Linked DNA regions of Drosophila melanogaster. The protein of the gene in region 2 interacts with the protein of the main gene of each other region in a pairwise test. Each region holds a gene or a part of one and is shown on either strand. Other genes may lie near its edges. The genes, in order: CG2310, CG42288, santa-maria and rtv.

Region 1 (7,128 bases), on a different chromosome or scaffold from region 2:
GGTGCTATATATTCTACGGGTGAGTGAATCTATAGATACTCTCTCTTACGCCACAGACTGGCTCTCCCAAATGAGTGGGATCCCTAAGTAATATCCCAAACCCATCGTACCGTATCGGCGAAGGGACTGCGAACTGTGCCGTCGGAGAGGTAGACCTGCGATGCCTCCACGGCCAGCTGACCCCAGATATCGGTGGATATATCCATGGCTGGGTGTGGATGATTCGGAACCACTTGCTTATATAAAAAAAAAATATAGCTACACACGGGGCAAACTACGCGTGCTCTGCCTGCGAGGCGAGAATATCCGTCGTATCGAGCTACTTTCGCGCTACTGCGAGCCGCATTCCCATCGACGTGCCATCGGAATCTCCAAAGATCCGCCAGGCAGTAGTAGACTCAAGAGAACCCTAGGCTTATTTATAGACCAGCGCCAGTAACGAGAGCACTGCCACATCGCATCACTCAATCACTCTACTTTCGGATGCATCAGCTGTGCTGTTCACGGGCGACGCACCACACCACTCACGCACTCTTTAAGAACAAATAGAACCACTAGAACCACCAGCACCACTCACCCAGCGGTGCACGTGGAGAAACATGCTGATAAAATCCCTGCCAAATCTCTTCCTTTCCTCGTCAGATTCAAAATCATTAGTAAGCTGTATAAAAGTATCTCGAGATATTTTACTATATTTTACTTATATCTAAAAGTATCTGATATTGCTGATAGTATCTACCTTTTGTAGGTTCGGATAACCTATGGATTCATCTTAAGATATTTCTACTTCTTAGATACTTTAAGATGCATCTGAAAATGCTTCTGTTTCCCGAGGAATAACCTTCTGAGCTTTATCCTTTAGCGCCTACTTTAAGATACATTTCCGCACAGCCTGCTTTTGCATATATATATTTAATAGTAATAATAGATTTCGAACCCCTTTTACTTTCTCAGTGCACAATGTTTGTTGCCAAGAATTCTATATATACGCCATCGTTCGTCTGTCTGGCTTTGTTTTGTTTACTACATCTAATATGTATATCTATCTGCACATGTGTATGTTCTATGTACAGGGTACTCACCAGTCGGGTCTTCACCACGCCAGAGTCGTGGAGTCCGATGGCCTGCGAGGAGGTTTGCGCTGCCAAAACATTCCAATTATCCATGGTGGGCACTGCGCTCTAGTTCGCGATTTGGATTGGGATCAGCCGGAAAGCTGAAGGTGTTCGCTGTCTCAGCTGTACAATATGTATGTATGTATGGTCTTGCTGGATCCGTCCGCTTCTATCTATGTATCTATGTATCTATGTATCTAACTAAGGGAGGAGATGTGCCGGCTATACTCGCATGAGATACATTCATTCATGAGCTAAACTATTTCTGCAAGGCTTTCCCAATTAGTCACACTGAATTCTGAGCATTTCAAACTAATTGTTATTTAGAAATTATTAGTTTACAAGCAGCTAAGCTAATTAAATTACCACATTTTGAAGCAAATTAATAGGAAATCTATATTCAGTAGTCTATTAGTTCTGGAAAGTATAAGTATATTAAGTAAGCAAGCGAAAGCAGTTAGTTAAAACTTCGTTTTTACTATGTTATTTACCCATTTGATTAGTTGATCAAACGAAATTGTTAGACACTTTCCGCAAATAAACGAGTGCGAGAAGGAAAGCTTTTAATTAATTAATTAATTGATGCCCGCAGGCGATTAAAATAGCAAATTCACAATTATGCAAACTCAGTGAACACACACACATTGTTCACTTGCGACTTTTGATTTTCGACGAGGATGGGCGTCACATCTGAATTTGTTTCATCCTTCGCCCGGTTTATTAATAGTTTTCCCTCAGCTGGTGGATCTGGTGGAAAAAACTGTTGGGGTTGCAAGTGCAACGTGGAAAGTGCAGTTTCGTAACTTTAGCACTTTCGTTGCAAGTTGAAAAAAAAAACTAGGGAAATTCACTTGGCAAATTCACTTATTCTGTTGCAAATTACTGGCAAATCGGATTGATAAATTCCGGCGAAAATCGACGGATTCTGCGGCTTTACATGGGCGAATGCTCCGCGTTCTCGACGGCTCCACAACTCTGAGAAAACTGAGAAAATCAGGCGTCCGCGGAAAATGGTTTATGCCAAAATTCACTCGGCTAGTTGATCGTACTACATGCGGAGTACATGGCTACATGGGCATCTGGGGATCTGTGGATCTGTGGATATGGAGGGGTTATTCGGGGCGATCTCTGCGAGTGCAGGCGTCATTTGCTTTTCCCATGGCGAGCGGCCAACAGAGGGGCGGTTGCCCAGGGGGCGTGGTCGATCGTTGGGAAACAGATATTACAAATGCTAGAAACTACAAAAAATCACTTCTTATGATTTGAGCACTGGATTTTATTCAAAAATTAGCCCATATCATCTCAGATTTTGATGATAGTTGTTTTTTTTTTAGTATAATAGTTTTAGTTAATAGCGTAATTAATGGAATTCAAGATTAAAAATAAGAATAGTTCCTAGTAATCAGATTGAACTGTTTACATTTGATTAGAAAGTGGGAACCTTATCAATTTCATGCATATATAAAATAAAATACACATAATTAATTAGTAATTTCTGGATGCAATTAAAGCTTCTCTTTATTGTTTATGTGATGCAAGGGGTTAAAATGGCAGCCTGGTGACTTTGATGATCTGGATTCCGTACTGCTGGTTCCTCCTCACAAATTCCTGTGACCAATCGCCGCTCAGACAGCCGCCGTCGCAGTTGCAGCCGAAGATGTTGCACGATCCCTGGCCGCAGTAGGCGCCCAACTGGGCAACACCATCGGCGCAGATCGTCACTTCGCAGCCGTTGGGATAGTTTTCGATTGCACGCACAGCCTCGCAGTCGCCTCTGTCCATCTTGAATTCCACCAGCTCCCGGGAGGTGCAGCATTCCGACCGAGCCACATGGACAAAGGCCAGGGCGCAGATCCCGACGAGAAGCAGGCTGACTACTGGGGATGCCATGATTGGATTTACTGGGAGAACTAATGCTTTTCACCCCGGCAAACAGCGATTTTATACGCTCACAGTGGGTGCAGGGAATTCGCTTAGTTGGCAAATGCGCTCCAAGTTATTAGGAAAATTGATTAGGCCCAGTTCTCGGGAAATTTACTTCTAACATAACTCAAACACATAGTCATGAAATACTGTCTAGTTACTGCGCTTTAGTTTAAATAAAACTTGTAATAATCAAAAATAAAATTTTAAACACAGATCACTTGTAACGGAAATCCCATTTGAATTTTGGTGATCGGCGTTGCCAGACGGCTAAAAGCGTTAGCACTAGCGGCCCGTTCTGATCAGAACGCAGTGGCGAAACGACGGTCGTTCAGTCGTTTCTTCGCCGCTCAACCGTTCGGTCGCTTCTTCGGTCGCCCGCCTATCGATATCGATAAACGTAGGTGTGCCTGCAGTGCGCCTGTGTGCGTGTATGTGTCAGCAGTGCAGTTTTCCTGTTTATCCCTGAATTCTGTGAGAAATGTGATATAGAAACAGCATTAGCGAACAACTAAACGCTTTGCGCAACCGAAATTCAGCTGCTTAAAGGGACATCGAAAGTGGTAGCTGCAAACATTATAGTTTGTTTATATCTGGTACAGTGCGCGTTGCAACCTGTTCTATGTGTGTGTGTTTGGGCAGGTGCGACAGTGTGTGTGTGTGTTAAGGGACGCCCAAAGAGTTGTTGTTGTTGCAAAGTTATCGATTTTAAATTTCAAGAGATGCTCACTATCGTCAAAAAAAGGAGTTTTTTAAACTAATCAGATAAGCTAACAATTGTTAGTAACTTCTTAGAAAAAAGCTTCGTTACAAACTCAAAATTGCTGTTAAATTTGAACAGCTAGTAATAATGTTCTTTCTCCATTTGAGGAAATGTAAAACGAAACCCACAATTGCGTTTAAGCAATCATCTTGAACGAATTGGGCATAATTACAATTAGATGAGCAATTAGAGCGCTCGAAAAGTGGCCAATTAATTAACTTGACTGCCCATTACCATAAGTACTTTAAAGTTGAATTAAGATCAACTTGACCTGGCTGGGGATCAAAGATACCCATATTCTATTCACTATTCACTTGTCCGCTTATTTCAGATACTCCTGCGAGCAGATACCATTCGCACGATGTCGTACTACGCGGAGCGAGCCCTGTCCCTACTCTACCCGCTGGCCATCGTTTCATCGCTGGTCTGCTGCATCACCTCGGCGGTGGCCTGGACACACTGGCAGTACGTGCTCAATGCCTGCCCGGACACCAATTGCGGCTGCGTGCTGCACGGCAAGAGCACGTTCCACAGCTTCGAGGGCGGCAACGTCGCCTACTGCCACTTCGCCACCTACGGCCTGCTGCTGCCGCTGCTCTTCGCCGTCGTCCTGGGCGTCTACCACGGCTACCGCATGTGCATCGGTCGGGGCAAGCCCAAGGCGGGCACGGCCACCATCCGTCAGCGGTAAGAGCGGGCGATCGCGATCGAGTGTCGGCGGGTCAATGGGGTTAATCGGCCAGCCACACTCGTTCGTCTGTCTGGCTATGAGTAATGCCATCATGGGCTCCAACTTGGAGCAGCATCAACTGTTTGCTTACGCCTCTCTGCTCTCTGCTTGCAGCTCCGGTGACATGATCGTGGTGACCACCGAGTCGGAACTCACGCCCGATGGTCTCTCGCCCTACTACTGTGAGTGTCCATCGTCTCCGAACTTAACTATGTACAAATGTGTAATACTTAACTAATTTAGGGCTGCCCGCCACCGTCATCTCGACAATAATGGCCGTCTACCAACTGGTCTACTCGGCCGTGTTCACGGATGGCTTCGAGGTGACTTGCAAGCAGTACAGGGAGTCGCTGCTGAAGGAGATCCAGGGCGTGGGCAACATTGTGCCCGTGATCAAGTCGCGGCTCTCGTGCGCCGCCGTCTTCGACTTCATGGACTATCTGGTGGAGAGCGTGTCGTACGAGCGGCGACGCTACGGGCGCATCAATACGGCCGCCTGCCTGTACTTCACCCTGGTCTTTGCCTGGATCGCACTGCTCGCATGGCTGCTCGTCTGCGTGATCAATGTCGTCCAGCTGCGGCGCACGAAGGCCGCCAGGGTCTGAGTCCTGCCATGAATCGGGAGGCGCGAGGTCCTCTACACTTTACATTCCACCTGTTCGCCTTTTAACTTATTTAGTTAGTTATAGTGACACACAAGCCAGAACGTCCACGTTATGAACGCATTGTACAAATAATATACATATGTATGAACAACGAGCGATTATTCACATCGCAAGCCTTTTCAATAAAATGACTATAATTGCATTAAAGATATGCATGCATACATATATGTAAATGAAGTTAAGTATTTTAAATGGGCTATTAGTTTGCATTAATTGGCGTGGTTTAAAATTATATAAATCATTTAAAGATGCAACATTTTTGCCTTCTATAAACTTATTTTACATATTTTGCATAAGAAAAGGTGAACTGAACTTATTTATTTTGTTTCAAGAGCTTACTCTGCAAAGGAAAACATCATTTAGAGAGTAATAATCTCCGTTTTGTTTGCATATTTTAAATTTAAAATAATAAAACACAATTGAAAGCTACAAACAATTTCGCTATTTTTCAAACACACTTATTTTGAAAAAGAGGGAAATAAGCATGTACAAAAATAATGGGAAATTCACCGAGTTCCAAATTCCAGTATATTCTCATCCCCTTGGCATTTTTCGCTCGGCACGGTCACACCATTCGGCTGCTGACGTGCCGCAAAAGAAAATTGTTTACGCCGAAAATTGTTGAATCGCAGCTTGTGAATTGCACAAAATGTTGGACATCCAGACGCATATGGTAGGTATGCTTCGCAACCATTAGCACATAACACTAACACGGCACTCTACCGCCGCAGGACTTCGCGGGTCAGGGAAAGGCGGAGCGCTGGTCGCGCTTCATCATCACGTTCTTCGGAATTGTGGGCCTCGTCTACGGAGCCTTCGTGCAGCAGTTCTCACAGACCGTGTACATCCTGGGCGCCGGATTTGTGCTCTCCTCGCTGGTGAGTAGCTGTCGTGTTAGTAGCTCCATTGCTAACAGCACGAGATTCCTGCACAGATCACCATTCCACCGTGGCCGCTGTACCGTCGCAATGCGCTCAAATGGCAGAAACCCATCGATACGGACGCCAAGTCGTCGAGCTCCGAGTCCGGCGACGAGGGCAAGAAGAAGAAGAAGCAGTAGAATCAGTGGGATCAGTAGTTAGTTAGGCCAGCAGTTACGTGTACTTCTCACTACATCCAATATAATATATATATATACATATGTATGTCCATTAGAACGCTAGATGGGTCGTCGGTAGGCGATGAGGTCGTTGTGGTCATAGTACTTGTGGATGAGATCGTACATGTGGGCGAAGAAGAAGAGCAGATTGTCGTACTGCCCATTGTAGGGCGCCTCCCTGCCCACATTCTCACTGGCAGCTGTCTTGGTCAGCGGCTCTGCCAGCTGATGGAAGCCCGCGGTGATCTCCAGGTTATCGAGTCCGCGATAGGCGGTGTTCAGGCCCCAGGCATTGATGTGCACCTCCAGGAGGAACTGGTGAATGGCCTCGATGGTGGCCAGATACCAGCGCGGACTGCCGCGCTGGTGGCGCCAGAATTGCGACAGTCGATTCTGCAGCACCACCGTTCGTAGGCCGCGCACCCTGGCGTCCGCGTAGATCCCGCGACTCTGGTTCCATGTGCTGTCTATGAAGACGGCTCGGCGGACGGGCAGGTTGTCTAGCGTCCAGGTTCGTCGCACCGTCTCCGGCTCATCTACCTCCTCCTGCAGCTCCTTTACCTCCACCTCGTCCATTCGCCTGCGCAGCATGGTGCCCATGTGGTGGCCCTTGGGCAGCCCGTAGTTGTCGCCGATCTGAAGCTGCACATTGCGCGCGAAGAGCTGCGGCACCGCAAGCGCAGTGGCGCTTGGGAATATGAGCACTACGCCCGCCTCCTCGCGATAGTCGGGAATGTCCGGAAATGTGTGGATCCTCACGTGCGCCGGCGCCAGAACGGCCGCGTGCACCGCCGAGCTCTTGCCGTCGATTTCCTTTTTGTGCTTAATGATGT
Region 2 (6,047 bases):
TGCGGCGTTCGTAAGTAACGAGCTTTAAAGCGAACATATCTCTTTTAGTGAGCACACATATACGCTTTCGCTGACCACATTCGCTCACTTGGCTAAAAGCAATTCTTTCGCCTTTTTTTTTTTTGCCTCGTGCACTTCGGGTTATCCTGTCTGTCTGGCTGACTGCCTATCCTTCCTTTTTGGAAAGTTAAGAGCCTTCGATTTGAAATCCCCTTTGAAACGAGCTCAGTTCTTGGCTGATTTATTGTGCGAATTTGCGCGCACTTTATCCAACTTGCTTAAAGTTTTAGTTATGCCAAAGTTTTGCAAATAAAATTTAAGATAAACTTTGTGTAAGTCTTGACTACGCCCTATACTTAAGGTAGGTATTTGAAGTACTTTGAAGTATATTAAACAAGTATTTATGGATGTGCTTCTTAAACTCAAGATAATTATAGAACAGTTGGAATATTTTCAATTACCATTACATGTGGCTCACTTATCGTAATTCCATTCAAAACGTTCCCTACACGTATTTTCCATTGCCACCTTAGACCACAAAAAAAAATAAAATGAGCCACCGAGTAGTCCATATGCGGCTAAGCTTTCCTTACTGGTTTCTTATCGCCACGAGCCAAAGTTGTTTATTAACCAACCTGAACTTCGGGCCAAACAAAGCCCGTTGAATATTACACGCAAAACGACTTAGACACAACAAACCGGTAAGTAACGCCCACCCAGAAATTGAAGAAAAATCCATTGAATACAGATCAGAGAAGCTTTAATTTCGTTTTGATTAGCAGGCGGAAGTTGAGATGCCAGTGGGGCTAACACTCAACGGCGAACTGTAGCAGCGACATATTGGCGAAGTGACTGATTGTCCGACTGACTGACTGACAGACAGACAGATTGACTGATTGATGGTGTGAAGTTTCACTGAAGCTTGGCATGAGCAGCGCGGATCGGTCATTGAAAGCGAATTCCTCACCAGACCCAATAATACATTTATGGAACCCGACGCCATCGTCAGGTGTCCCGATAATGGGCGACGACGACCGATAAAATGGGAAATTATACAGGCACTCTCGTTTGTCTCTTCGGGATTTACTCAACCATTCCTCAGTTATCGAAGGCTCACAAATGGTTGAGCAAAAAGTGCAAAGAAAGAGGCCTCAATTGGAGTGCAAATATTTGTGCGATGATAGCATGAATTGTATTCTTTATGACGGTCTATATAGGGTTCTATGTTCGGTCGCAAGAGAAACCATGCGATAAGATATGCGGCCAGTTTACTGATTGATATACGACTGTGGGGAAGCAGGAAATTTGTTGGTAACCTGCTATGCTTTCAGGTGGAATAAGTAAAGGGAATATGCTAGATTTCCCAAACCAATGGATTAAGTTATTCCAATGATGTCATATTCTTTAGTTTGCAGCATGAACAACTTAATTAGCCCTTGCTATCTTTCAACAAAACACAAACAACATGCTTCCATAAACTTTAATCGCAATTCACATTGCATGCTTATGTAACTCAGGATATTATTCCCCACAAACAAATATCCCCAAAAAATGGTTAAAGCACGCTCAGCTTTCGGTTCCCACACAACCGATCAGAATTTACAACATAATTTACTAAGCTGCACGCTGACAGTGGAACCAGAGCGGCCACGCCCCCTTGCCAAAAAGCCAAAAACAAGGCAATGTCTGTCACTTGACGCGCTGAATTTGAATTGGCCGAAACGAAAACGGAACCGGCACGAAAGACCCGGCCATGCAATTAGCTGGAGGTCATTGTGTTCGGTTCAGCGAAGTTCATTTCAGTTCAGTTCAGTTCAGTTCGATTCGAATCGATACCAGTGTGATTTCAAATCCAGTTCGGTTTCAGTTTGGGTATCGCCCAGAGTTTCCGTTTGCAATTTTGCGGTTTCAATATTGAATTGGGCGAGGCCCCCGCATTGCATTTACGCTTGACAATGTTTCGACAGCAATTTGCTCAACAAATTGCGATTAAATGTATACAATTGATTGACCATTGTTTGGCTTTCATTAGCACAAAGGAGCGGGGAAGTGCCTTTCATTCGGTGAGTAATTTGACGGCATTATAAGGGCAAATAACCGCTGATCTTGACCCCCTGACCACGCATTTACTCATATTTCAAACTAAGTAACATATGTGAATATGTTAACACGTAGTTCTCCTAATCTGTTGGCCATTGAAAAACTAACCTTCCTTGTGACTGACACTTTTTTTTTGCCTCCCCTTGACAGACTGCCATTCAATTGTCAAATATCTTTGGATCTGCAGCGTCACGATTTCCAACTGGGCGCACGACCTCAGACATTGCAGTTGCCGATAAATTGCATTGAACTTCAAAAATTGAAACTTCACGAGGGCCATTTGGCAGCCATTCGAGGGCGGCTGAGGGGGCGTGGTCGTTTTTATGTTGTAAGGGCACGTGTCAGCCTTTGGCTGCATAAAAATTTCAATCAACAACATCTGTTGAAAAATTGCATTGCGATTCCACAGTAATTGGTTTTTTGTGTGATTCAATGCAAAATGCATTTAGTTTGATTGTGAATTTGTGTCTTTTAAGGATTTTGATCCTTAATCTTAGTGCAAGATTATTATTGATTCAAATATTAAATAACTAACGCAAAAATTTTACGATCAACTGTTCCTTGCATTCTGTTGTTTTGGGCGAAATTCATGTAAAAAAAAATCACAAATTTCTGTAGCGGCATGTTTTTTAAAAAGTGCTGCTTTTTCCTGCCCCTCAACGTGGGTTGCATAATCATTGGAGCCATCTTCATAACATTTCACGTTGGGGAGCTGATAACGCATTCGGATGACACCATTTTCATCAAGCAAGTGTCCCACAAATGGTGGGCACCCGTCATCATGTCTCCGATCCTGACAATTGGAACTCTGAGCTCTATACTCCTTGTGTATGCTGCTTCGAAGGTAAGAGATTCAATTGGTTTCTTTCAAGATTCTAATGCTTTATAACATTACAAATGCAGAGCAAGCGAGGCTTTGTCCTTATGTGGATTATCATCTATGCAATTATACTATCCCTATATTTCCTAATGGCCGTTGTCCAGTTGGCCAGGTCGAAACCTTCGCCGATTATATTGGCCGTTCAGGTGTTCATCATAGGTGGGTGTTGGCCATTTTTGATTGAATATGTCTGAATAATGTCTTGATTTTCATACCCCCTAGTTGGTCTCGTTTATTCCCTGCTAATAGTGCTGGCTTTTTATCGATATTTGAGCAGTGTGGATTCTGACGATTCAATTTGATGAGTTGTAAAATAAATGTTAAACTAACGTGTAACTGAATTTAACTGATCTAGTTTACTTCTTTCAGTGTGTCCCTTTTATACAAACTAGATTTTCAACAAATTTCAGTTTCTCAGGAAAGCTTTGAAAATTGTTGTTTAAAACTTGCAGTGCGGCTGAGGATCGGATCAATCATGGCCTGTCGCTGCAAATATCTGAAGCAGATCTTTACCAAGTGCTGCTACTGCTATTCCCTGCGTTTCGGTGTGCTGCTCTTCGGATGCATTTTTCTAACCTGGTTCATTTACATCACCATCGGCACCGGCTTCATGATGGAGTGCATCTTTCCGAACGAGTATCAGAGGTCCCTTATCCCAGCACCGGCGGCCCTCAAGGCCACCATGGTCTTCTCCTTCTTCGGCATCATAGTTTCGGCCATGCTCTGCCTGGGAGTGCACAATGTATGTGATCTGTCTATTATAAATATTCCCAATATATTTAGCATATGCTTATAATACCTCATAATTTTGTAGAACAACGAGATGCTCTTCCTGCCATTTTTGGTTTTCACACCCATTTGGATAATTGTGCACATTTTTGCCCTGACCGTTTACAGCTTTAATACCATCATCATCATCCTGACTGTCATCACAATGTGTGGGTACCCCCAATAATCATGAATCTAAAGCCTAAATTAAGTATACTATTTAATGTTTTATAGTACTTTTAGTGTATGCCTGGCTGGTGGTTTGGTCCTACTACATAGAACTGCTCTTCGCCTACGAAGATGAACTGGAAACCGGTTATGTGTAATAATAGTAATAATAATGATATTTACAAATTTTAGTATGTTGAGCAAGCATTTGATGTGCCTAATAAAATAATGCATGTAGGATACAGAAATACAGATCATAATTTCGCTTGAGCAGAACTCCATACTATGTGAAGTAGACCCCATTTCGGATGTACATATTTCTCCCCGTTTAGTGAGTATTTAGCGCACATGAGACATGCCCGTGCTCTATATACACCGAAAAGACAATGGGTATCGCAGTGGTAATGACAGTGACCGACTTACCTTCGGCAGCGAGGCGAGCACCTGCTGCTTGACATCCCAAACGAGCCGCTCCGATGGGAACTGCAGACACTTGTAGACATTCAGCTCCGGCACATGGATGCGCACCAGTAGCCATCCGTCCCGCGGCTCCGGCGGCGGCTCATCGTCAAACGCACCCGACCCGGACATGGCGTCCGTATTGGCCGGGTTCTGTTTGACTTTGGGCGTGGGTGGGTGGTATGTCGTAATTTTGACGGCTTTCTATCGCACGGTCCACGAAAAAAAAACGAAGCTACTCCCGCTCCACTGGGAGATCTCCTTCTAGCCGTTCTATTCGCTTAATTTGCTCTTTCCTTATTTGGTTGCACTTCAAAGTGATTTGCCTTTGGGCGTGATGAGCTACTAAGTTAATTTATCTAACTTTTTATTGCCAATCTATTTGGCTTTCTTTTACGGCCTTCTGCTGTTGGAATCCGTTTTGTTTGGACATTTCGCTGTGCTGCGTTCGTTGAGTCTGGCGCATGATGGTTCTGAAATGAATCAAATTAGAGGTATAAGAATAAAATATATTATAATGTATAATATTTCCTTTCCGAATCATAATGCATTACCCAATGAAGCTATTAATTTTCACTCCACTTTCATATGCACTAAATATTTTCGCATAAATTTAGTACACATATGCAAATTGCAATCCATTAAAAGCCTGCTCAAGTCCAGACAACAACATAAAATAGTTTCCCCAGCACTTAATTTTTAAATTGGTTTACTTTTCGAAACTGTCCACTGCACTTTTCCTACGCACTTGATGATATCAGTCAGACGGCAATTGGCCCGATTTTCCGAGCCCCTTTTCATGTCTGCAGGCCTATCTAATAGGAAAAACAAATTGTCAGAGTGAAAAGAAAACACTTGGGCTGCCGCAAACATTTCTCGTTGATGATTACAATTTGATATTGACATTTTATGGCTGCAGCACTGCAATGGCAGTTGCAATTGCAATTATGCACAAATTAAATTCACACGCTAGCTGGAAAGGAGGAGGTGCCACACGGTGGGTGGAGGATTGGAGGCATGTAAATGTGTGCCAAAGACCCGCTGACAGTTGTCGCTTTTGTGTTGGGGAGGAGGAAGGGGGGGGGGGGCGGAAAATGGAGCGGAAAAGCGGGCGGAGCGGGACATGTCGAGGCAACTGGAACTGTGGGCGGAACGGGTTAGCCACCAACTGCAGCAACAACCACATCTGCAAGTCTGCACTTTGTCGCATTTAATTGCGAGCGTGTTGATTGCATTCAACTAGTTAGAGTTGGCATTTCGAAAGGGCGGGGGACGGAGATGGCGGGAAATGGGGGAAAACTAGTGTAAAATGGAAATCGCTTGCGGGAAATGATAAATCCTAATTGAGGATAAAAGTTGTGGGTGCTCTGTCTGAAAGATGAAAGGTTTTGCAGTCAAAGGTTGTGACAAAATGAAAGGCTTTAGAAAAAGGTGGAAAAAAGGAAAGCATTTAAAAGTGCTTGTAAAATCCCAAATAAGAAGACTTTACTCGTTGAGTTTTTGTAAGAAACTGATTTTATTTGGAAATATCTTCGGTTTAAATAGGTGACATGAGAATCGCATCTTAAAGTAAATGGCCTACGCAGAGGCCTAAGTAAATAGTCCCCGCCTTATCGAGGTCCCACGCTCGGGCACATCTGCCTATCTTGAGCGGCGAGGACCTTATCTGTGG
Region 3 (10,830 bases), on a different chromosome or scaffold from region 2:
GAATACGCAATCAAACAGGTGTCCAACATACACAATCTGCTCTGCGACATTTGCCAGACCATCGAGGAATACTTCACATATCCGCTGCTCGGAATCATAGCCATATCCTTTCTGTTCATTCTCTTTGATGACTTTTACATTTTGGAAGCCATTCTGAATCCCAAACGACTGGATGTCTTTGAGGCCGATGAGTTCTTTGCCTTCTTCCTGATGCAGCTCATCTGGTATATAGTGATCATAGTGCTGATCGTGGAGGGCAGCAGTCGGACTATTTTGCATAGCAGCTATACGGCAGCTATAGTTCACAAGATTCTCAATATCACCGATGATCCAGAACTCAGAGATCGACTTTTCCGTCTGTCCTTGCAGCTGTCGCATCGGAAGGTCCTTTTCACAGCCGCAGGACTTTTTCGTCTGGATCGCACACTGATTTTTACGGTGAACTAATGTTGAAAATAATTAAATATTTTATTTATTTAAGTGGTTAATTTTTGCAGATTACTGGTGCTGCCACGTGCTACCTCATTATCCTAATTCAGTTTCGATTCACACATCACATGGACGACACCAGCTCCAATTCAACAAATAATTTACATTCCATTCATCTCGGCGATTGATTAAAATTATATATACACATTAATCAATTAAATTTAAACATAAAGTGTCCTAACGTACAGATGAAAAATAAATTAAAGTTTTCCAGCTCGCAGTAAATTACATTTTTTATCCGTATTTTTTAAGTTATGATATAATATTTAAAGCAAGTAAACATTTCAATTGCACTTAATCAGTACGTTACGTATTCACGTAACGTAAGCCAATCGACAACAACAAGCTGGTTGCTACGTCACTGACTGTGTTGCTGGCTGACATGAGCTGCTTGAATTTCACTAATGAATTCAAATGGATAATGCTGGCCGAGACCCATTTCGAAGCTAAGGGCTGGCTTGACCCACTTCTGCTTGCTCCACTTCACAACATTGCAACATAATCTGCAGCGGTAACTGACTTTTGGCCACAACTGATAGCTAATCCCAGTTAGCACGCCATGTGAAAGGAGGCAAAAGACTAATCCAATAAGGAAGCCAGCCTGAATACGCACTGAAGCAATGACATTTTATTGTTTTATTGCCTCAGACTGCAATCCATGGGTGTTTTCTATGCCATTTGCTGGGGAGTTGTGCCCCTATGATAGCGAAATAAAACAAAAAAACAGTTGAAACTTTGCTCTGATCGCTTGTCGATTTTCGCAGCTTACAAGTGTGTGGGGTTAGTCGTGAATGTTCGCTGTTCACCCAGTGCTAATCATCACGATTAGCCGCATTGATAAGGCTTCGACAATTTGTTATCAATTCGGATTTCTACTTTACGATTTGTTTACTTTTCCACAAGCCACCCGATTCGTATGCGAAAATTCGCAGTTTTATGAAATCTAAGTGCATAGGAATTTCTTTCGCTGATTGTGATTTTTTGAAATGTGACCCAGTTATATTTGCTATTCGACTGAACAATAGAAAATATGTTGACTCTTTCAGTTCATTCATTTCATTTTTATATCATTTGATATTTATTAGATGTAAATATTTAAAAAATATATATATAAGAAACTAAAATATTTGTAAACGTATTTAACAAAGCAAATGGTTCAATTTAGATTATTTCCAAAAATTTATATAAAGATGGTGACACTGTTGTTTCTGACTACTTCTTCCCTTGGATGCATTCTACAGTTTTAAAGTCGTACTCGCGTTTCAGATTGTATATTGTTTAATTCAAAATTCAATGGCACAACTATGAAAAGCCCAAAGCGCAAATTAACCCAAACACCCACTCGCACACACACATACACACCGTTGCTCGGATACTCGGAGCTCTTCTCAAGCCCAATTCCATATACATTTCCATTTCCATGTGCCGCACTTGACTGACATTCATCGGCCGCCGAGACCGCTCCGCTCTGCTCGCGGTCCGTTCGCTGAGAGTCCGCCGCACAGTCGCATCGAAGCCGCCGGGCGAAGCGGTACCATTTTACGGCATTTCCCAGGGACTCGTGTCCACTTTTCCGGCCTCTGTGCAAAGAAATCATCCACGTGCTCAAGCGTTCTGTCCACATCCTTATCGAATTTCAATTTCCTCGCAAGGAAAATCAAAACGTAAAAAAAAAACCGAGGAGCCTGTGATTTGTTTCTATTTAGCAAATAAAAGTCAAGTGAGTGCCTTTAAAAGAAAATAAAGGAAATTTGGAAAGACAAAAGAAAACTCCTTTCGCAATATCACGTAATTTCTTAGCGCTTCCTGCTTTGTTAACACATTACGTTTTGGCTTGATTTGGCTTAATCGCCGGCAGACTTATTAAGATTACAGGTCATTAAATGAAATTAACTCGACAAGAATGAAAAATAGTCGCCAGACAGAAAACCAAATATATATGTATGTACAGTGGCAATCTATATTATACATTCTTTTTGTGTTTATACTGGCTTTGTGTGTCGTCTCCCTTTTGAAGAAATAAGAGTGCCGGAATGCAAAACAAAGGGCTTCCAGCTTGGACTACGAGGCGACCTGTTGATTGTGCGATTAATGGTCTAAAATTAGTCCCAGGGAAAACAGCTGCTCAGGAAAATATTAAGCATGCGCCCCGTTGACGAATTATGTTTTGTAGCTTGTATTTTTACATAAAACGAAATTGGGCGATGATAAATTATAATGAAAAAATAAAAAAATCTAGTATATGTTTTGGAATTTTCTGCAAAAGAACGGCAGCTGATCTTATTTGGTATATAAATAAAAAACAAAACAGTGGTGTACAAAACACATTGCGTATGCGACCTGTTAACCATTTAAAGTTCAAGATAATTAAATATCAACTTGCTCCCAACTAATTGCAGTTGCGTGTGCCTTTATAAGATAATAAATATCTGAAAAACAAATAATGTAAATACTCTAATAGAAAACCAACGAATGTCTTAAAAATTGCAAATTAAAATATTTATTTAAATTTTCTTTATTGTATGCAATAAAGAGCCAAAGAAACTTCACATTCATTTTCCAGCTATTCGCTAATTGAATAATCAATGCCCAGATTGGCGAATCCTCAATAAATACAGCTGTTCGTTGGCAAATTACTCATGGGACCCGTTTAAATATAGTTCAAGATAATCGAAACTAGCCCCTAATAGCATGTTCATTAAAGTTTCGTTTAAGAATTCAACTCATGCTGGACAATTAAAGTCAAATCAATTAATCAATTCACAATGAATTAATTAAAATCTCAAAGGGCTTAAACAACTTTAGTTAATACTGAAATCTTGGCTACGTAAAAGTGGCATTTAAAGAAATTTTTTGATTTAAAGTTCATTAAAAAGAAACAAAATAACTTTCTGCAGTTCAGGGACCTTTAAAAGTACCAAGCCTATTTACGGTTTAGCCTTTCGCTCTTTATTTATAGTTGTTGGCTTTTTTTTAAATCGTCGTGTGTATTTTCGTACTTGAAGGCTGCGAAAACTCAATTACATGCCGATAGCTCGTTATCAAAAAATACTCGCCCAAGCATATGTGAATTTGCGAACTGCGTCAAATCTGTAAGTTGCGGTTTATCTCAATGGCAGCCTTTGTGGTTAAATGGGGTTGAAAAACATCAGGAAAAACTGAGAAGGTGTTGACTTGTCTCACATCCAGTAGACGATCTTAAAGTATCGGGTTTACTGCGTCTGACTTAGTACTTAGAATTTCCGTTTCATATCAAGTGCACTTGCACTCAGGAAGTTAACGCCAAAAAGGCAGATAATTCTTGCTAGAATGTTTCAGAATGCATTCACTTTCGATGTGGCATCACTTCAGAGTTCAGTGTTCTCGGTGCATTTGCATAGAATATGAATAAAGCGTTCGGAGCATTCATAAAAATGTTAATATAGAAGATCAAGAACCAGAGAGTATGACAAGAGCATGCCTAATTTAATAATGAATCAAATATACCGGTCACTAAAATTTAAGCTTAATTAAACGCAATTATTCAGTGTTGCGGCTTCGAGCTTCAAGAGCGAATATCAAAGAACTGCACTGAAAAAAAAACGTATCTTGCTATAAATATTTTCTCACAAAAAGAGATATTCCTGCTAAAATCTCTTAGATTTCCATTCAAAATCTATCCTCGTTATGTGCGGTATTGCTCTTGATCTAATTGAATTAAGCGAAAAATGCGGGATGAACTCTACGTGATGCACCTGTCCAACGTCCATTTCAATTAAAACTCACTTCAGATTAATTGTGAAGACAATAAAAAGGCGCCGACAAATGCTCGACAGCTATTCATCATTCAAAAGACATAATCATATCAATTTACCAGACACCAACCAGAACACAACTGACACGCTCCCAAATAAGCATATATATATGTATATATGTGTATATATATATATAGATTCCTACTCGTATTCATGTGCAATAACGCAAAGTGTCAAAGACCCAACCATAGCTCACTGCGGGGTCAATTGATAGACTCAATTATGACGATATATCACAGAGATGCGAACCTGTGGCATATGTACGTACATATGCAATATTTATGCTCAAGTGATACATAGTGTTTGGTGATGGGAACTCTGGGCAGATTGGTCAAATAATTGCCAGAGGATGGATTCCCGATAAGCGATAAGTGCAGTGCAGTTCAATTTCCTCAATTGTCTGTGGCTTCCTCATGGGTCTGTTTACCTAAGAGTTCAGAATCCGCTTATCGGACCACAGTGAATGCCCCATATAGGAAAATTCGCCTACCGAATGCGATCATAAAATATTTTATCCACATTCATGCATGTTATTCGTAAACGAAATGGATAATTACACGTATTGCTTGCAATGCAGCTTCAAACTATCATAACTAATTAAAACACATCATCGTTGAGTGTCGGGGGAAGCTTTGTAATTATCACCACTGATAGGGGATTCGACTATAGTTCTGTATATATGTACACATATACTTACCGGACTTAGTATATTCTACATGAGTGTAAACAGCAATTGAAAGTCACGCTTTGCTTAAATTGATTCAATTATATTGATAAAAATAGACGCTATGGGAATTCGTCACTCAATAAAATGCTGCGCTTTTTGCATTTTATTTGTATTCAATTCTTTGTTGATTTCTTTGTTCGCCATACTTATATTAATATGTGACTTGATGCATCTGTTAATAAGAGATTTGATTCTACATTTTTTTTATTCTTTAACTAGCACTGCCTGAAAGTAGGCAACATGAACATGAGTTCACAAAATAATATTGTGTAAAGTTATATTTTAAATTATTGTATTATGATTTGTTCATAATGATTTTATAATAGAAAACTTATCAGTACATTCTCAACTTGCACTACATTTATGAGTTCTTTCATTTGATCCATTTTTATATGTTGGCAAATAGACTATCAATTTATCCATTTTCATTGATGTTTCAATGACTTGCATATCATTACAGCCACCATTAGGTATCCACACACCATCGCCCAGCGTGAGCCATGCCAACACAAAACAGCGCAATGTGGGGCCAAAAAAGTAATCGCAAATTAATTATCGGCATTTTCGGCTTTTGCCTGGGACTATTTGGCATATTGTGCGGCATGTTCTGGGTGGACCTGTTCGATTGGATCATGCACAAGGTAATCCCAGTCATTGACAGAGGTTCAGTTAAGTTCATTTCACTTCACTCCAGTGTTAGCCCGGCCAGCTGCATTCGATTAGTGGCTAAAGCCAATTGAAAGTCAAAAGAAAAACAGCCGCCTCTCAATTGGCGCGAGTCAAAGATCGAGGAAAACTCGTTGAGATTTTCAATTAATACCAATTGCGGCTTCTGTTCTTCGACAGGAAATGGCTCTGGCCCCCGACACACGTGTCTATGAAAATTGGAAGAGTCCGCCAATTGATCTCAGTCTGGACATCTACCTGTACAACTGGACGAATCCGGAGGATTTCGGCAACCTTTCCACAAAGCCCATTCTGGAGCAGGTGGGTCCTTATCGTTTTATCGAGCGACCCGATAAGGTGGACATTCACTGGCATCCAGAAAATGCATCCGTCACTTATCGCAGGCGCAGCTTGTTCTACTTTGATGCGGCGGGCAGTAATGGCAGCCTGGACGATGAGATTACCACGCTTAATGCAGTGGCTCTGGTAAGTATCCTATTCCCTTTTATTACATAATATAACTATAACTATACATTTCCATTTCAGTCTGCAGCCGCCACAGCCAAATATTGGCCACCAGTTAAGCGCTCCCTTGTCGATGTGGGACTAAAGATGTACGGTGCCGAGATGTCTGTCCAAAAATCGATCGATGAGCTGCTCTTCACCGGTTACAATGACGCAATGATCGACGTGGCCATGGCCATGCCCATTTTTGGTGATGAGGTGAAGGTTCCATTCGATAAGTTCGGTTGGTTCTATACGCGCAATGGAAGTGCCGATCTTACCGGAGTTTTTAATGTCTTCACTGGCGCCGATCAACTGGCCAAACTGGGTCAGATGCACTCGTGGAATTACCAGGAGAACACTGGATTCTTTGATTCCTATTGCGGTATGACCAATGGATCCGCCGGGGAGTTCCAGCCACAGCATCTGAAGCCCGGCGATAGTGTTGGTCTATTTACGCCCGATATGTGCCGAACTATTCCGCTGGATTATGTGGAAACTGTGGATATTGAAGGACTGGAAGGTTATAAATTCTCAGGCGGACCACGATCTGTAGATAATGGTGAGTCTTGATAAGAATTGATTAATTGTGAGTACCCATTCTATTAGAGATTTATATTTCAGGCACCCAGTATCCTGAGAACCTTTGTTTTTGTGGTGGCCAATGTGTTCCGTCGGGTGTGATGAACATCAGTTCCTGTCGCTTTGGATCTCCTGTTTTTATGTCCTATCCACACTTTTTCAACGCCGATCCTTACTACCCAGATCAGGTAGAGGGCTTGAGTCCTAACCAGAAGGATCACGAGTTTTATATGGTTGTGCAGCCAAGTACTGGTATTCCCCTGGAGGTGGCTGCCCGATTTCAAGTGAATATGCTCGTGGAGCCAATCCAAGGCATTAGCTTATACACTGGAATACCAAGGATATTTTTCCCACTCGTATGGTTCGAACAGAAAGTAAGAATCACTCCAGATATGGCAGATCAACTGAAGGTGCTGCCCATTGTCATGCTCTCCGGACATATATTCGCCGGAATTTGCTTGATCGTAGGCATAACTCTACTCTGCTGGACTCCGGTTCAGATTCTATTGGCTTCCTGTCGAAATCGTAGATACGATCTGAGGACCAAAACCAAAACGAATGGCCAGTATAAGAGTCGCTCTCAATTCTCCAGTGCTGAGGAACTGAAGTCCAAGGCCTCCACTTTGGTGTGCGAAAAGAGTGTCAAAGGATCTCCGGACAGTTCTCCGCTCCTCGAAAAAGGCCGTAAGCCAACCATTATTAAATCCCAGACGGGTGAAAGTGTGGCCACTGCATCCACAGCCATCAGCGACAATAAGCAGGATTGAACAGAACCGCCACATTCACGCCATTTAGATAGTTAAGCCGTCCTAGTGCTTTAGTCGTAGCTCATAGTTTAGTGACACTCTAAAACACCCAACTGAAAATTGCAAGCATTCCCGTGCCTATGCCAAAGATTAGATAGCCTTCGAAGTCGAAACGTCTGGTGGACTTCGCTTAGCTAACGAATACTCTTTTTACATTCCTTAGTTATTAGATATGTTTTGTATTAAAATGATTTCTTGACCCATGGCTTTCGTGTCAAATAAAATCTTCAACTACAAAGGAAATTATCATTTTAGTAGGTTAAGTGGGTAAGATTGCACATAACTATTTTTATTTCATTACAGCTCACAACGTTTGTTTTGAATTTTAACAACATTTTTTTCATCTTTATTAGTTCAATAACAATTATACAAAATATATAGTATATATGGTATCCACTTTAATGCCTAGCTCATGAGCTTGTATCGTGATCATTTTAATTATTGTGAATAATTTTCTTAACCTTACATTTAAAGGGCAAAGAGACTATTACTTAACGTACGACAATATTTGCAATATCACAAATGACCCAACTTAAGTGACTAAAATACGAATCGAAAGGGGGAAGGGAGGATTGTGCGGATTTGGGGGGTTAGTTTTGGACTATTCCTTGTACTATTACTTCTTCATCTTATACCCCTCAGTATACCCATAGCTGTCAGCCACTAAAAAAAAAAAAAGTTAAGTTTATTAGTATATAAAGCCTGATATTGCTGTTTATGAATATCTTACGTTCATAATCCTTGGAATAGCACTCAAAGAATTCGCCCAAAACTTTGCCGTGTGGCAGTTCCCATGTGGCAGAACCACCGTATTTCGGAGGCAAAGCCTTCGCCTCAATATGGGAGATCAGGGACTTGTAGTCCTTGCCATGGAAGAAGATCTACCAAATAGGAATTTATTACATATAACTTAACATTATTTCATGTATTTCTTATTCAAACTTACCCTCTTGCGCAGCTTTTCGCGAATGAATGGCTTGAATACGGCAAAGAGCATATTGAATATATATGAATTATTCACTATGTGAACTGCTTTCAAACGCATGCAGATGCATTCTTGAATGTAATCCAGCAACATGGCGGCAAATGACGGTGTAAATTGTGTAATGTGGCTAAGTGGCAGCCCTGCAAAATGGTTAATATGTATTAAGTAACTTGTATAATTTGTATTTCCTGCCTAGAATTTATTACCTTCCATATCGATAATGACAACTGAGCCGCAAATTTGTGAGTAGGGCTCCACCATAGAACCCAGTACGGTCAATTGAATGCCGCGGAATAGATCCACCAAGGGCACTTGCGATGGCTTCCATTTTTCTGGAGTAATTCAATTATTTATAGACATTTTTTTAGTTGTTTTTAAGAGCCAAACTTACTGCCAGCTTCCAGCACCAAAAGCCGACGGCCGTGTTGATCTCTTTGGGGCAGCAAATTCAGAATATTTGCCTCGAAAACGTTTCTCAACTTGCTGGGGATTATGTTCTCGCAAGCGGCTCCATACTTCAATTTCATGTGATAAAAGTTCTTGAGCTGTACATAATGTAAGAGAAAATAAATAAAAAATATATATATTTAAAGCTTGCATGTTTCAACAAATTACTCACCCTTTTCAAGGCACTTTCTGGATAGTAATGGGTGGGACGCAGGAACATCATCATATACTCATCATCCAATGGCAGGTTCAGGTACTTTTCATCTATTAATTTGGAATTTTTTTTTTAAATTTTATTAACCAACGTGCATGTGCTTTCACCCACTTTGAATGAGTTCCCTGAGTTCCTTGATGGCCTGCTCCTTGACGCCGGGCACTTCCCGCAACTCATCCTGTGCCTTCTTCAGTGCCCATTCCGGCGCTTGTTCCTTCTCCATGCGGATCTGTGCCGAGCCCAGATCGATGTAGGGCAACTTGTGCTCATCGTAGCTAATGCACTCTGCCTTGCCCATGGTGTGGATATGTTGTGTGATCTGGATGCCGCGATCTGGCGCTAGTTGTTCACCGGTTCAAGCTGCGAACGAGAATGAAGTTGTTTTGGTCTCGGCTCAAACATTTTGAGTGGTTTGGCAACCATTTCCTCAAAGCGATTGGCACAACTGGGTTACTTCCGCAGCAGGGCCAAAACCCCAAGCAGAAAGCAAAAGCGGCAACAGTTCAATGCCTCGCTCCAATGGAAACTGTTTTAATATATATAAATATACACATACACCTCGATGTTTATGTATGACTCAAAACTGATCTTCATAGGCAAAAGTCGCCGAAAACCGCCACAACGGAAGAAGAGTTCGCCGGACAAACGGGTAAATATATATAGATATAGAAATAGATAGACTGATAGACAATAGCACCCAAAACTGGTCGCAAAACGTGCGTTCGATGGCCAAAATCGTTGGATACCCTCACCGCAAAGGTTATAGAAATTCGGTCAGGGCGTTTGCTGCACTTCTTAGGTCATTTATCATGATTTTTTTAAAGACTTGTCATATCCTAACGGAATTAAATTATTTAGATGTTTAAATTTGTATAAGTGTGCCATCAATTTGTAAAAATATTAAAAGCACCAGCAAAGAAGAGTTTGAGTGCTGAAATTTAAGTTCTTTTTTATAAGTATGTCATTATAATAGTTTTATAGCTACATAAAGTCAACATTAACTTTTAACAAATACACGTTTTAGAACAAAGAAAAACATAACTATTATTAGTTGGATTTTCTTAGTCTTTGAACAGTCTTTGAACACTCGATCTCTCTATATGTATGATACATATCAACAAGTACGTGTCTCGACTGTTTGGCTCGCAGACGACTTGGCAACACCTTGGCTGCTAAAACAAAATTGGTCAAAATCGACTCGATGACGTAGCACTTGTGATCTATGCCCTGTCATGAAGGACTTGACAATGGCACAGAAAAATTCGGACTCGAAGTTGAGAAGTTAAAGAACTTGGTCGGTGGATTGAGCCGCAGAGTAGTGCAAATCGGTGTTGGCCATTAAATTTGATTTACTGCTGCTCTTATGATTCAAAGCAATTAGTACGTTTTTTTGATATTGACTTTTTTGTGCGGTCAACGCGAATGAAGGTAAAAGTCAAGGCCAAGAGCAAAGATTGTTTGATATTATTAGTATAGTATAGTAGATTGAAGCCGTAAAACTTGAAAAACTTGGAGCCAGCATAGAGGTAGATTTGTCATTCCGGCAAATGCGTTGCGGCTTTTTAATTTTCGTGGCTTCCAGAAATTTCGTCAATGAATCTTGGGTAATTTATGCT
Region 4 (6,813 bases), on a different chromosome or scaffold from region 2:
TACATAAGCCTATAAGCACGGCATTCCGGAACACGCTCTGTCAACAACACCAAACATAAATGACTTTCATGGGTACTTTTTTGTATAGGCTTGTTCATATTTTGACCCATAAAAAAAAAAAAAATAATAAAAAACTTTCCAATGTTCAAAAATTTCACCGTTCCGCCATCGACTCTAACTCATCGACGCTAATTTGATGGTCTTGCGTGCATTTTGGAACACTAAATAACGAAAAATTAATTTTTAAAAAACTTCCCCATGTTCAAAAATTCCACCGTTCCGTCATCGAAGTTATTGACGCACATCGTCCTTATTTCTCCAAATTCATAATTAAACGCATATTAAGATTAAAAATTCGCTACGAGAACGAGCACATGTATTCATCTATCTGGCAACGCCACCAGTTGATGCAACACATTTTTATCTTAAATTGCGAAGTTCCTCGGCCAGATATCAGTTACGAATGTAGTGATCAATCTATCACATTTTCTAACCACATTCGGTTTCAATTCCCACCCCACTCCCTTTCGAAAATTTGCCCAAAATTCCCACAAGTGCATCAATTGCAACGCATCCGAAATCAGTCGCGTGCGTGATTCGTACGATAACCGTCGTTATATATATAGCGTCAATATAATCGGAACAAGATGAGCAAGTACCATAAGGAGCGCAAGTACGCCAAGTTCAGGTACTACATGGAGAAGTACTACGTGCTGCCGCTGGAGCTGAAGAACGACATCATCTACTGCCAGCGATCGCTGCGCGATTTCCTCAAGGTTCACGCGGTAAGTGCACCATGGCTCCTTGGCGAACACCAGTTAATTTGTTTCCTTTGTCTCTGTTCTCTCACTTACGCAGTTGGTCTCGGAGGTCTTCGATGAGCAGGCGGATGCGGTGGGTTTAATGCCAGAAGACTGCAAGTCTTTGTCCTTTGTTCTCTACGCCACGAGAATTCCCGATTCCCCAGGGTGAAGGTGTTCGCCCGTAGAACACCACCCAACCCCCCTCCCACTACACACAACCAAAAAAAAAACCAAAACAAAGAACTGTATGTAGATGAAGCTATGAAACGTAGTACTTAGTTTAGTTTTTTCATTTCAAAGAAACTGATGTACTCGCGATAATTTTCTAGAGTTGGGTTAGAAACATGAAAGAGGCAACTGCGTTTTAAGCAAAACTAATAATGCACAAAAATTGGGTCAAATGTTTTCATTTCCAAAGGAACCACGTTCGCATCTCTGAATTTTTTCGAAATTACTTTCACTTTTTTTTGAAAAGAAGACATATGAGAATTATGTATATGACGAAATCCATCATCTATATGAGCAAATATTGCTGATTTCTTAACAGCATTAATGCGCATATTCTTTAATGCCGCTTTATTTCAATATTTTTCCAACGTGCATCCTTATCCATCAATCTCAACCTCATTTGTGATTGAAATGTATTCCCTTTTTTGCTCAGTGCTTGTGGTCATTAGCGTTTTTAATGGCCATTAGCACCTGTGCAGCTTCCACCTAACAATCCCAGCCACACCTAATGTGACACTCACGTTCTTGTCGTCATTAGGATCCAGTGCAGATGCGTCGCATCTTGGACGAACTGGAGGAGGAGGTGTACGAGATCAATGCCGAGCAGCAGTTCCTTCTGCTACGCCTCAACGATAGCCTACAGGAATTCTCCGTGAAGCTGAAGGAGAACAACATCATGTTCCTGCCGGACATCGCCCATGAGTACGTTTCCGCCCAGGTAGTGCCTTTGATCGTCGATCCCAACTATAAGATTATGCCACAGTCGGTGATGGCTCGTGATACCGAGGAGATGCTTATTCGCAAGCACTTCCTGCTGAGCCAGGACGATGATTCTGGTATGCCGCCGCTTAAGCTCAGCGAATTGGATGAGAATATACCATTGATGCTGGCTCCGCCGGTTAGGGGATTGGGTCAGCAGATCGCCGCCGTTAAGCCGGAGCCAGAGTGGCTCCAAGGCGATGAGGCGACAGTATCAGTGCCACCGCCGCCGCCACAATCGAAGTCGAAGCTGATGAAAGGGTCGCTGGATTCGACCCCGGCCAAGCGAGAGAATATCAGCCGCAGCTCACCGCCGCCCTTGGCGCCTATAACCCAAACCGTAGTGGCTGAGTTGTCACAAGTACCTCCATCACCACAAGCAGAATCTCCACCAGTAAACTTTCACGTTGTGGCCCAGAGTCGCAAGAACTTGCAGCAGGCATTGAGAAGGGCCAGAAAGACGAAGCAGCAGCCACGTTTGTTCGACGACGAGGAGGACCTGGAGATCACCAGTTTGCAGAACGATCGCAACAAGAACAGAACCAGCGATGGCAAGGGGACACCGCCATCGCTGGAGCCAACGAATGCTGCCGCCAATCAGGCAGCCAAGAAGACCATCCCACAAATGTCTAGTCAGGGGATGGCGAAGAATAATACCGCGAAGAGCAAAAACACGTGCAGGAAATCCTCGCCAACGCCCACATCCAGTGGACAGTCGCAGCCAGCGGTATCGTCATCCGGCAGCTCCGATGATTCCAGTGCCGAGCTGCAGCAGGAGCAGCAAAGACGCGTCGCATCCGCCGCCCAGTGGCGCGATGAGCCGCGCGAGAGCCGCACCCAGCCGGAGGAGTACGGCCAGGAGACGTTCCTCGGCCTCTTTGAGCTCTACTCGCCGGAGGTGCTCAAGAAGCTCAGTCAGCGCCACTCGAAGCGCAAGCGTCGCACCGTTCAGAATGCCAGCGGAGTGGATTTTCACTATGGCCAGCAGTTGAATGCCGTGGACGCGTTAGTCATGGGCGTTCGTGGTCAGAAGAAGACCAAGGAGAAGTCCGAATTCCTGCTCTCGCCGACGGAAAAACGTTTGCAGGCCAACTCGAAGAGGACGTACACACGCAAGAGCAAGTCGCCGGACGAGATTTCGGAGAAGAGCAGCGCAGGAGGAGGATCTGGCGCATCGGGAACTGCGTCTTCATCAGCCTGTCAGCATAAAGACGGCGGTGCCTCCAAGTGCCGCAAATGCCGCGAGTGCCGTGAATGCAAACGTCGTGTGGGTGAGTCATCCACCAACCACAAACTTGTTGAGTTGGTTTTCTTAAATTCGTATTACCCATTTAATGATTTTATTAATATTTTATTGTTTTGCTTGTTTTTTTTTTCCCAGAAACCGAAGCGATGTACTGCCACTTGTGCAGCGGATTATACCACATGGACTGCCACGAGTTCACCAAAAATCGCCAGCTGATGCAGCTGCAGAACTCTCGCTGCCCCCCATGCTTGCGCGAAAAAGATAAGTTGGAGAAGTAGTGCGTTGCCAAGTGAGCCATTGATGTTAAATGTTTCTCATTCTTGCATAAAGGATTGTATATATTTGAATCAACCCTAGTTGGTATGCTGAGTTCGTGTTTTTATATTAAAATTTATTATTACTTAAATGATTATATGATTATATAAATGATTATTATATTCTTATTTTATAAATATACTAATTAAAACGAATGGATATTCTATTTGCAAACAAAGAGAATGGTGTTACGCAGCAGGAGTGATTTAATTAGGTATATGAATAATATTCATATTGTTTCTTTTTCGCAAACAATCGAGTCTGTTCCACTGATAGCTGATTGACCCGAAGTCGGGATCTATGCCATATATAGCCATAATCAATGGTTACATATTGAATGTAAGTACCTTATTTGCGATCGGAAAAATGATACGAAAAAATGCACGAGTAAACGGCAATAAAATCTTAAGCAGAGCAAGAACATTCGATTTTAAGTAATAACAAAAAATTGTTTGTATTTATCGAACTGTTGATATTACATTGAGTGTTGCTGAGTATTGGAAGATGTATATACACATTGCCGGCTAAGAGCACAGAAAGCAAACAGTCTAGTTTCGCATCCGCTGGAGCAGCCAGGAGCCGAGCAGCGGCAGCATGGTGATGAGGATCATCTGGGGTGCACTGGACCAGCTCCTCGCGCCGTTGCACAGGTCGCCCTGGCAGAAGCACATGTACACCTTCTTATAGTTGTAGATGGTGTCCGCACAGCGATCCATGTTGTCGTCCGGACCGCGCTGCACGCACATCCGCTGGATGGCCAGGTCGTAGTCGTCGATGGCATAGGTGCCGCCGCCCTCGATCACCTTGCCGCACCAGCCGCTGGCGCACGGGATGGCCGCCACTCCCGGTTCCTGCTCCACGTCCGTTGCATTGAAGGTGAAGGGGTCCTTGCAGCTGCCCAGTTCGCCACGGGATCGGCACTGATAGCAGCGGCGCAGAAGGCCTACAATTGAAAGTTCAAATATTTAAAATTTAAAACATGGTTTTACTGAGCGTTTAAATCTAAAAGTGAATTAAAAATGAAAATTTTAAATAATATGCAAATGGAACAATTAAGCAAATAACAATACAACGGAAAAAGTTAGTTTTTAATTTGATTTCGCCGTTTTCCCCATGTGAAAATCGAATTATATCTCTCTCACACACACACAACACATATGCAACTTAAACAAAAGACTTCAACGAGAACACGAACTCACCATCGATTGAAACCAGACTTATGAGAAAAATCACAGCCAGTAAAAGGCTCGTAAATTGCATGGTCCCGTCTTCTTATTTCGCCTACTAACTAGTCAATAATGATAATAATGAATAATAGTAAATATATGTAAATGTTAAGTCAAGGAAGTTTAATCGTGAATTAGTGTTACCAGGCGCTGGAATTCCAGCGAATCCAAAAGGTAAAAAGCTCTGCAAAAATAAATAAATACGTTATTTAATATAAATATATGTATATACATATATACAAAAATTACAATTTTATCAACGATTAATTATTTCAAAAATATATTCCAAAATAATGCTAGCTAGATTAATTTATCGATAGTATCGATACTATTGCATGCTTGCATAAGTAAATGCTAGAATTTTAGTAGATACCAGAAATAGTAGCTTTGCCACAGCGCCATCTGCTGGAAATGCGATCAAAGTTCACAATGAGATTAAAGCGACATCTATGAGCAGCGTCAAATCGTTATTGGAATATTTACTTTTTAATTATTAGTTACTCGTTATTCGAAGTAATTTAACGGGTATCTGATAGTCAGTACCTCCACTAAAGCGTTCCCTCTTGCTATCATTTTACCAGCCATATAAATAAATAAACGCCGGGAGAAAAGTACAAAAAGAAATACAGAATAGTTACAAAAGTGATTGTTGTGGGAACGGTATTTCCCGCACCTGCTAGTGCCAAGTGTGACCATACCCGGGTCACCATTTGGTATCGGTATTTTTTGCAGTATTTTTACACGAATAATTGGTGCGAAAGGAAAAGCAAAGCAAAGCAGAAGTGAAGAAGAAGAGCAGTGAAGAGGAGAGGCAGTCAGATTCGACGACGCAACGGCGCTGAAAAAACTCCAGTGGAAACGCACACGAACGCGGCTCTTCTCCACATAAATATACATTATATTATTTAAGTTTGCCTTGTCTAATTGAAACGATCGAAAGGCTGTCCAGCGGAGAGGACGTGCGTGAAAATCCAGGGCGCGAGTTTTCACTGGAGAGGAGAGCGAAGAGCGTGAGAAACTGCGTACGTAGGAAACGGAATAAAAAAAGTGGGCAATCAGAAAGGAGGAAAGAAAGAAAATAGAGTGAGCGAGAGAGATAGATTGAGTAGAAGAGGAAATTTTGCGAATTTGTCAGCAGCTGTGCGTCGTAACTAAAGCAACAGAATTGGAAGTGAGAGTGGGTGGGAGAGAGAGCGTGGTGACAAATGCATAGAGAATTAAACAAAAATAATACAAGTGCGCAGCCTTGCAGTAAAATTATTTAAATAGACTGCTAAATCATATGCAGCCGACACCTGGCAGCCGTCTCGCTCTGTCGCGCATGTGTTTGTTTTTGTTTGCCAACTGTTTCTCATCTTCCCTCTCTTCCACTCTCCCTCTCTCTCTTTAGCACTCTCTGTTGCAGCGCCAGCACATCCCGTTTCCCAATTGGACCCAGCCAGGAGTGGAGAGCGTTCCAATAGGAGCACCGCAGCTGCAGCACCAACAACAACATGGCGATGAACAGTGGGACGCAAACGAATGCGCTGACATCATCCTTTACCATGAAGAAAAAGGATGCGGCCGCGGAAAAGGAGAACCTATGGTGAGTGCAATTGCAGTAGTAGCGACTACTTCAGCAAGTAAACCTCCCAAAAAGGGAACACAACCCCAATTGACATATGCGTAATCCCCCAAAATGCAAGCACCAAGATAACTCAAGATATAAGATCAGTTACCAAAAAAACAGAAACTATAGAACAAATAAGTAGGTAGGTAGTTCGAGGTGGAAAAATATGAAATTTGAACCATTATTGTAATAATACTTAACTTTCAGAGCATGTAACTCTGTACATTACAATATGATATCGACAAATAACTACCCAATATGCAAAGTGCAATAAAATTTAATCTCAAACGAGAGAATCTGAGAAGATAAACAAAAACAAAGTTCGGAGAGGGCGCTCCATACTTCTCTTCAATTTGTTGATAACTTTCTTTTAAAATGACGTTCGCTAGTTGCTTTTTGCCACCACTACTACTACTATTACTATCTTCAACTTGTGCCCGTTGGTAACTAATACTACTCAATTTTTCGTCTTACACTTTGTAATTTGCTTTCCGATAGCCGGCAACTCCCATTTTTTTTATTCTATTTTTTGGAGCCGCAAACCAGCTGATTTCATTGGCATGTTGTCATTTCTTTTTCTACCAATATTCCTCTACTTAACCTCAAATGTTGCAAAAAAGAGATTTG

What was found.
Region 1: the proteins of CG42288 (region 2) and CG2310 interact in a two-hybrid assay, tested with the Drosophila melanogaster proteins (one large-scale study listed by BioGRID).
Region 3: the proteins of CG42288 (region 2) and santa-maria interact in a two-hybrid assay, tested with the Drosophila melanogaster proteins (one large-scale study listed by BioGRID).
Region 4: the proteins of CG42288 (region 2) and rtv interact in a two-hybrid assay, tested with the Drosophila melanogaster proteins (one large-scale study listed by BioGRID).

What each region holds. Positions count from the first base shown.
Region 1 is NT_033777.3:29,489,756-29,496,883, reverse strand, and holds CG2310 (uncharacterized protein), read left to right. Parts: upstream 1-3,365; 5' UTR 3,366-3,634; intron 3,635-4,132; 5' UTR 4,133-4,162; coding exon 4,163-4,488; intron 4,489-4,645; coding exon 4,646-4,713; intron 4,714-4,774; coding exon 4,775-5,136; 3' UTR 5,137-5,360; downstream 5,361-7,128. Other genes in the region: FipoQ (F-box involved in polyQ pathogenesis), read right to left, coding at 111-206; diedel, read right to left, coding at 2,658-3,005; Spase12 (spase 12-subunit), read left to right, coding at 5,846-5,869, 5,928-6,074, 6,131-6,256; CG2006 (uncharacterized protein), read right to left, coding at 6,356-7,128.
Region 2 is NT_033778.4:14,087,654-14,093,700, forward strand, and holds CG42288 (uncharacterized protein), read left to right. Parts: upstream 1-3,377; 5' UTR 3,378-3,455; coding exon 3,456-3,722; intron 3,723-3,794; coding exon 3,795-3,918; intron 3,919-3,982; coding exon 3,983-4,074; 3' UTR 4,075-4,161; downstream 4,162-6,047. Other genes in the region: prosap, read right to left, coding at 4,340-4,507; CG42287 (uncharacterized protein), read left to right, coding at 2,723-2,944, 3,004-3,139, 3,203-3,282.
Region 3 is NT_033779.5:7,442,328-7,453,157, reverse strand, and holds santa-maria (scavenger receptor acting in neural tissue and majority of rhodopsin is absent), read left to right. Parts: upstream 1-1,913; 5' UTR 1,914-2,209; exon of another isoform or gene 2,210-5,470; 5' UTR 5,471-5,510; coding exon 5,511-5,651; intron 5,652-5,856; coding exon 5,857-6,162; intron 6,163-6,222; coding exon 6,223-6,742; intron 6,743-6,804; coding exon 6,805-7,529; 3' UTR 7,530-7,803; downstream 7,804-10,830. Other genes in the region: Gr28a (gustatory receptor 28a), read left to right, coding at 1-438, 498-617; CG5973 (uncharacterized protein), read right to left, coding at 8,185-8,231, 8,299-8,449, 8,515-8,693, 8,760-8,885, 8,945-9,098, 9,173-9,264, 9,326-9,512.
Region 4 is NC_004354.4:11,149,067-11,155,879, forward strand, and holds rtv (retroactive), read right to left. Parts: upstream 4,925-6,813; 5' UTR 4,827-4,924; intron 4,762-4,826; 5' UTR 4,612-4,761; coding exon 4,551-4,611; intron 4,509-4,550; exon of another isoform or gene 4,422-4,508; intron 4,295-4,421; coding exon 3,900-4,294; 3' UTR 3,418-3,899; downstream 1-3,417. Other genes in the region: Lint-1 (l(3)mbt interacting protein 1), read left to right, coding at 648-785, 859-894, 1,570-3,061, 3,172-3,314; Dlic (dynein light intermediate chain), read left to right, coding at 6,071-6,162. UniProt on the Drosophila melanogaster protein: Required for chitin fiber assembly and organization involved in cuticle formation and tracheal development.